Linked DNA regions of Caenorhabditis elegans. The protein of the gene in region 1 interacts with the protein of each later gene in a pairwise test. Each region holds a gene or a part of one and is shown on either strand. Other genes may lie near its edges.

Region 1 (4,361 bases):
CGCTCTGGAAAGTTCCGCACTCTTCTCTCTCATGATTCGGCGCACTCTCTCTTCCATTTCTCCGTGTTTCCTCTTCTGATGTTGACCCATATTTATTCTGCCGGGTGTATTCTTTTTATCTATCTGTTGCTTCATTTATTCCGTTAACCTGTTACTGGTTAATATTTCAAAAATTCATATGATTTCTTTTCAGATTACTTTCCACAATGGGAAAAGACTACTACAAAGTGCTGGGCATCAGCAAAGGTGCAACAGACGATGAAATCAAAAAGGCTTATCGTAAAATGGCTTTGAAATACCATCCGGATAAGAATAAGGAAGCTGGAGCTGAGAACAAATTCAAGGTATTTTTTAAAATTTAGTTTTCTAATTTAAAAAAAAGTTTTTGGTCCTCGGTGAAGGATACTGTACTTTTCATGACCAAGTTGTTATTTTTAAGCACTCGATTTAAAAACGATTTTAATCAAAATATAGAAAATCCCAGTAAAATTGCAGTTTTTCTGGGAATTTATTGATGTTAACCTGAAATAATATTTTTTTTAATTACAGGAAATTGCCGAAGCTTACGATGTTCTTTCCGATGATAAGAAAAAGAAGATTTACGATCAATTCGGAGAGGAAGGACTAAAGGAAGGTGGACCAGGAGCCGGAGGTGGTGGCGGCGGTGGAATGCACTACGAATTCCGTGGAGACCCAATGAACATTTTCTCATCATTCTTTGGAGGATCCGATCCGTTCGGTGCTGGTGGACCTGGAATGTTTGATCTTGGTGGTGGAGCCGGAGGCCCGAATATGTTCTTCATGAATCAAGGTGGTATGGATGACGGTATGTTCGGCGGCATGCATCAAGGTGGAAGACGTGGACATGCTCGTCAAGATCCTGCTGTGCTCCATGATCTTTCTGTCAGTTTGGAGGATGTACTGAAAGGTACAACGAAGAAGATGAAGATTACAAGAAAAGTTATGACGGACAATGCTCAACGCCTAGAAGACAAAGTTTTGACGGTCACTATTAAACCAGGATGGAAGTCAGGCACAAAGATCACATTCCCAAAAGAAGGTGATCAGCACCCGAACAGAACTCCCGCCGACATAGTCTTCGTCATCAAGGATAAGCCACACCCGAAATTCAAGCGAGAGGGATCTGACATCAAACGCGTCGAAAAGATCTCCCTGAAGTCTGCATTGACTGGCCTTGATATTATGATTCCAACGTTGGATGGAGCAGACTACCGTCTTCAATTGAACGATGTCATTAAGCCGGGAACTACAAGACGGTAGGTTAAAAATTTTGAGATTCACGAGAAGTAAATTATTAATTTTAATTCTTTCAGGCTGACTGGAAAAGGACTTCCAAATCCAAAGTCTCCATCTCACAGAGGAGATTTAATCATTGAGTTTGACGTGGAATTCCCATCACAACTCAATCCAACTCAACGGGAAGTGATTCTGAGGAACTTCTAATCGCATTTTTCAATTTTCCCTCTCTTGCTTATCAATCAACTACAGTCGAACCAAGACGGGTAAACAATCACTCTTGATTGCCATTGGATTCGATTTAGCAGTATTCAGTCGCCTTGTTCGATGTTTTCAAGCGGGTATTTAAGAGATTTTTTATTAGGATGTTGTTCTTTTTATCACCCATGTTTCATTGTTAATTACCCATCTCACACATATTGCCCATAGTTATTCAGATGCATTTTTTATCGTTTATCAAGTCTCATTCTAATGACATGAAAACCTTCATTGACAAGATACTCGGTGTAATTGTATCCCCCCTCAACCGCCCCCTCTTTCAATTTTAATTCGTGCTTCCTTATCAACATTTCCGATAAATAAACTTTTAAATTAAAGCAAAAGAAAGTTTTGTGATTTTCGTGTGTTCAGTTGATCTGTCTCCTCATCGTATCGATTGTCTTGTCCTTGGCCACGTGGGGGTAAAAGATGATATCGGGCGTTGAAAGAAAGGAGATGAGGGCACACCATCATCATTCTTTACCAGTTTGCAGCGGCAAAAATGCTGACCAGAGGATTCACGTCAATTGGCAAGATTGCAAGTAGAGGTAATTAATGTTTCAGTTAATATTTAAGGCTGGTGTAGTCGAATTTAATTAAGACTGCTGTAAAAATACAATAAAAACCGCAACAATCACCTAAAATTAGCCGAAAACAATAATCAACATATTAATTATATGATTGTCCGAGAGGAGTACACGCAGAGGGCGCTCGTTCGCGCGCGAAGTTCAAAAAATTTAGAATTATTCGCTATTTCGAAGCCATAACTCACGTTAACGAAATTTTTGTGATGTATCGTTTTTACATATCGTCTAAATTCGACTACACCCAAAAAATTATTCTCAAACTTGAGCTCACCCTCCAAATATTTCAGGTCTCTCGTCGACGTTCTACCAAGATGCTTTCCAGCTTTCGGATCAGCTCACTGAAGACGAAAGATCTTTGATGCTCTCGGCTCGGGAATACTGTCAGGAGCGACTTTTGCCACGTGTCACAGAAGCTTACAGAACTGAAAGTGAGACACTCCATACCGAATTCTTATTTAATTTTACCATAGTCTTGATTTCCAGAATTCGACCCATCCCTGATTCCGGAAATGGGAAGTATGGGCCTGTTGGGCGCCCCATATCAAGGATACGGCTGCGCTGGAACATCAACTGTTGGCTATGGACTCATCGCTCGTGAGGTGGAACGAGTCGATTCGGGATACAGATCTACGATGAGTGTGCAAACGAGTCTGGTGATCGGACCGATCTACAACTACGGAAGTGAGGATCAGAAGCAGAAATATATTCCCGATTTGGCGAGTGGAAAGAAGATCGGATGCTTCGGATTGACCGAGCCGAATCATGGATCTAATCCAGGAGGAATGGAGACAAAGGCCACGTAAGTCTAGAAAATATTTGATTCATTTTCAAAACTCTTGTGTTTTTCAGCTGGGATGAGACCACAAAAACCTACAAATTGAATGGATCGAAGACTTGGATCTCCAACAGCCCTGTCTCTGATGTGATGGTCGTTTGGGCGAGAAGTGCTCGCCACAACAATAAAATCAAGGGATTCATCCTGGAACGTGGAATGAAGGGACTGACGACTCCAAAAATTGAAGGAAAACTTTCATTGAGAGCCTCGATCACTGGACAGATTGCAATGGATGATGTTCCAGTACCAGAGGAGAATCTTCTCCCGAACGCTGAAGGGCTTCAAGGACCATTCGGATGCCTGAATAACGCACGCCTCGGAATCGCGTGGGGTGCTCTCGGAGCAGCTGAAGAATGCTTCCATCTCGCACGCCAGTACACTTTGGATCGCCAACAGTTCGGACGCCCACTTGCACAGAATCAGCTGATGCAGTTGAAGATGGCTGATATGTTAACTGAAATCTCTTTGGGTCTTCAAGGATGCCTTCGTGTGTCCCGCCTGAAAGATGAGGGAAAAGTTCAATCAGAGCAGATCTCGATTATCAAAAGAAACTCGTGTGGAAAGGCTCTCGAGGTGGCACGAAAGGCGAGAGATATGCTTGGTGGAAATGGAATTGTGGATGAGTACCATATTATGAGACATATGGTGAATTTGGAGACAGTTAACACTTATGAAGGAACACACGATGTACATGCTCTGATCCTTGGAAGAGCCATCACGGGACTCAACGGATTCTGCTAATTTTTTCTTTTTTTTCCTTTTTTCACTTATTGTCTAGTCTTGTCATAGTCTATTGCTTTTCAACGCAAAAAGTTTTATTTCATTCCCAAAAATATTGAAGTTTCAATAAATATGTAGCACACGTTGGAAATTCTTTCTTGTTGCTCAATTAGATCAGCCTTTCGAGGAGAGTCTGAAAACATAAAATTTAGTTAGAAAACGTGGTGTTTTGTCAAATTTATTACGCTCCGTATCACAAAGGAGTGCACAGAGTTGATACTCAGCCAAATGCCAAATTATAAATATTGAATTAAAATTCCAGAAAATCAGAAACTTTTACATAACTTTGAATAAATTTCAGCAATGACCTGCAAGTCTTTTATGCATTTATTTGAAACAATTCAGGTGGGTCTCGACACGAATGAAATGTTTCAACTACAGTACCCACTCTCTCGACTCTTTCTAAATATATTTAATTTTCTTTAAATAGATATGAGCTATAGAATTAAAAATTGTGTTCAAATTTTTACTTTTATTTCCAAAACAACCATATTCACAGGGGAATCCGAAAATATCAACAAAAAAAAATGAAACGCTCCGAGTTGAAATCTAGCTGAATTACAAATAATTGGATATTTAAACAATGATGTTTTAAGAATTTTCAGAATTTGGAAATTTATAAGATTACATTAGTTATCTGTGAA
Region 2 (3,201 bases), on another chromosome or scaffold:
GCGAACAAATCATCAATGTAAATTTCAGCGGATTCGTTACGACGTGTCTCACCACATCGTTAGTAGGATTTCAGAACACATTAAGTAGAAATCAAGAGACGCGGAATAGTGAAATGAAAATGCGACGTTTACCTTTCTGAGAAGGACGGTTACACCGGATGTACGCGTCGACGCTTTAATCTAATAAGGATAAGGTTCAATGCATGAAAAGGTGTTTACATTTGAAACCTTCTATTTCGGTTAAAAGAACTCGAATGAAATATTGCATCAGAAAATCTATAGTTTAGAAAATGCGTTTATTTTTAGAATAGGACAATTTTACAAGCAAGAGTCATAAATTAATACAAAAATTACAGAAATGTCAAAAAATAACGATATTCACAACCATTCGGATAGAAATTAAAGAGACAATCAAAAGGGTCATTTATTGTAGTTGCTTGATCTCTTTTCCTGTTTTCTTCAGAGCTTCAAGTACATCAGATGCTGGTAAATCAGTTGTAACTGTGATTTTCTTGGTTTCCACGTTAATATCGTCAATTTTGATTTTGTCTTCTGTAGAATAATAGGATTAATTTGATTAACAAAAAGTAAACCAAACCTCCAAGCTTTCCTAGAACTTTTCGCGCAGCATTTGCACAGCCATTGCATGTCATGCCCATTTCGAAAACGTACTGAAAATGTTCAAATTATTTTTTTTTTCACAAATATGAGAATATTTAATTGTAATTTGTAAAAAGTTAAATAATTTACCTGTGTCATGATATTTGTTGAGTCAGAAATCTGGAAACTCTGCTTCTGCTTGCCTGAAAAACGTTAATTTGAATGATTGGAATTAGTACAGTCGAAAAGAAATGAACAAAGAGACGCAAAATGGAGAGACAGTGATAGGGCGACTCGTGGTCAATGCTTTATCTCTGAGAATTTGCATCATTCGACATTTTTTGATCAAGTTTTCAAGAAACTGCGATAATTAAAAAAGGAACTATTGAGATGGGACAACTCGAATGGTTTAAGCAACTTTTAAATGTTTTCCAGTTTTTTTTTTTACTTTTTGGAAAAATTTATGGAAAAATGAGAAAGAAGCTTAGAAACAGGATAAAGACACCAAATGACGTCACAGCTTTGCATTAATGCATCTTCTCTATTTTCTCGGCGTCTCACTCATCTTCTACTTTGAAACGAGCGTTTTTATGGGGTGAGAAAATTATCGATTTTAAGGGTGATCAGTTAAAGAGAAAAATAAAGACGATAACATTTTGATGGAGCCTGTTAAATGTTGTGAATTGGAAGAAATAGAGCCTTATATAAAGAACTGTTTTATCATCTACAGTAGTCCGAAAGCCATTTAGCAGGATATTCGAGGCTGAAGAGAAGTTAACTATATTTAGATAGCATAACTTATTAAAACTCAAAAAGTACAAGGACATTGAAAAAGCGGAAAATACAAATACTCAGTTTAAATTAACTAAAAAACCAAAACCCACATCTTTTTCATGCATGATGCATGGGTATGATTAATTTTATGTCGTCAAGTATGGTGTCGCATACGCAGTCTGCAGTATGTCGTATTATCTGATGCTAGCGCAACTTTCGAAAATTCAAGGTTCTTTTTTCATTTTTATGGAGGATTTCGCAGCGTTTTAACCTTTTTAAATGTGTTTTGTTGAGTTTATGTTTATTAAAACAACTTTGTCACTATTAGAAAATAGATACATCTTTCCATCTCACTGAAAAAACCGTCAGATGGGTTTTAAACTTCTTAAATTGTTCAAACATAACAATTGTGATTCGGAAACGCTTTGAATGTATTTTTATTGCTTAAATTACTTGTGTCCTTCACTATTTTCGATATCCCTCGTTTCAAAATATATTATTTAAAAATATTTCAGAAATGTCCGCAGTTCAACCAGTGAACCCAAAACCGTTCCTCAACAGTCTCACCGGAAAGTTTGTCGTTTGCAAACTGAAGTGGGGAATGGAGTACAAAGGTTTGTATTGACATAATGAAATATTTCACCAAAAGCGCCAAATGTTTAAGGTGTCCTTGTTGCTGTCGACTCCTACATGAATCTGCAGCTGGCTCACGCCGAGGAGTACATTGACGGAAACAGTCAAGGAAATCTCGGAGAGATTCTTATCCGGTTGGTGCATTTTTTAAAAGAAAAAATTCAAGCCGTAGAAACTAAAGTTATTACAATCTTATGCACATTTATATCGTAGTAAATCTTGAAAAATGTTCTAACTTTAGATGCAACAACGTTCTCTACGTGGGAGGCGTGGACGGAGAAAACGAGACGAGTGCCTAAATTCTTCAAACCCTTCTCAACAATTGATCTTATGTTCACAAGTTTTCTGTCTTTTTCGCACATTCTTAATCAATAAATTATAATTATCTTATTAAAGAAGTTTTTAAAATATTTATTAAATGAAAAAAAAAATCATCAGCAAATTATGTAAATTATCAAAGACACAGCGAATCCTCTTTCACCAACGTGGCGCTCATTTCATTTTTGACATCTACTTCTTCAACAACTACAATACCATTCTCAATTGTCTTCAGCTTCTCTTTCTCATTCATCTCCTGATCATCCTCAACTTTAGCCCAATCTTGTAATTCTCCTGATCCGAATAACAAGAATATTGAACCAGAGAAAATATGTGCCAGTGAGCATCCTATGAAGATATTCTGCCACTCCGCAGCGGTTCCCTAAGAATATGGATAGCAAGTAGATTTGTCAAAAATCTCTAAAATAGCTTACGTCTTTTCTGAACATGCTCATGACTGCAGGAGTTGTCAATCTACCAATCATTGCAACAAACATTGAAATTGCAGACATGGTTGCAGTATATTGTGGTGCCAAACTGAGTAGTGATGTGTAAAATCCACTCACAAATGTTCCCATTGAGCTATACCTGAAGACTTTAAATTTGGAAAAGTCGCTGAAAAGTATCGAAACTCACATTAAACAGAAGAAAATAAGGCCAGTTGTTGGATTAGAGCAATCGACAAAGAATGCAAGTAAAATAAGTGAGAAGGAACTCCCAAAACTTGCTGAAATAAATACTATTTCTGGAAACTTGCAAAAATCAACTGACCAACACCATGTGATACCTTTACAGCTTTAGTATTACTGAGAATCTTATTTTCTTTTAATTTATCTATTCCAATACCCCAAACAACTTTGAATATCATATTGAAGA

Evidence for each region.
Region 2: the proteins of F54D5.7 (region 1) and snr-5 interact in a two-hybrid assay, tested with the Caenorhabditis elegans proteins (one large-scale study listed by BioGRID).

Annotation. Positions count from the first base shown.
Region 1 is NC_003280.10:11,545,508-11,549,868, forward strand, and holds F54D5.7 (putative glutaryl-CoA dehydrogenase, mitochondrial), read left to right. Parts: upstream 1-2,009; 5' UTR 2,010-2,017; coding exon 2,018-2,063; intron 2,064-2,114; exon of another isoform or gene 2,115-2,264; intron 2,265-2,389; coding exon 2,390-2,530; intron 2,531-2,585; coding exon 2,586-2,901; intron 2,902-2,951; coding exon 2,952-3,678; 3' UTR 3,679-3,805; downstream 3,806-4,361. Other genes in the region: dnj-13 (DnaJ homolog subfamily B member 13), read left to right, coding at 207-344, 550-1,277, 1,335-1,464.
Region 2 is NC_003281.10:7,860,181-7,863,381, forward strand, and holds snr-5 (putative small nuclear ribonucleoprotein F), read left to right. Parts: upstream 1-1,889; 5' UTR 1,890-1,891; coding exon 1,892-1,988; intron 1,989-2,038; coding exon 2,039-2,141; intron 2,142-2,248; coding exon 2,249-2,306; 3' UTR 2,307-2,394; downstream 2,395-3,201. Other genes in the region: cuc-1 (Copper transport protein ATOX1), read right to left, coding at 425-552, 599-671, 751-759; putative transporter slc-17.3, read right to left, coding at 2,462-2,707, 2,760-2,913, 2,962-3,052, 3,097-3,201.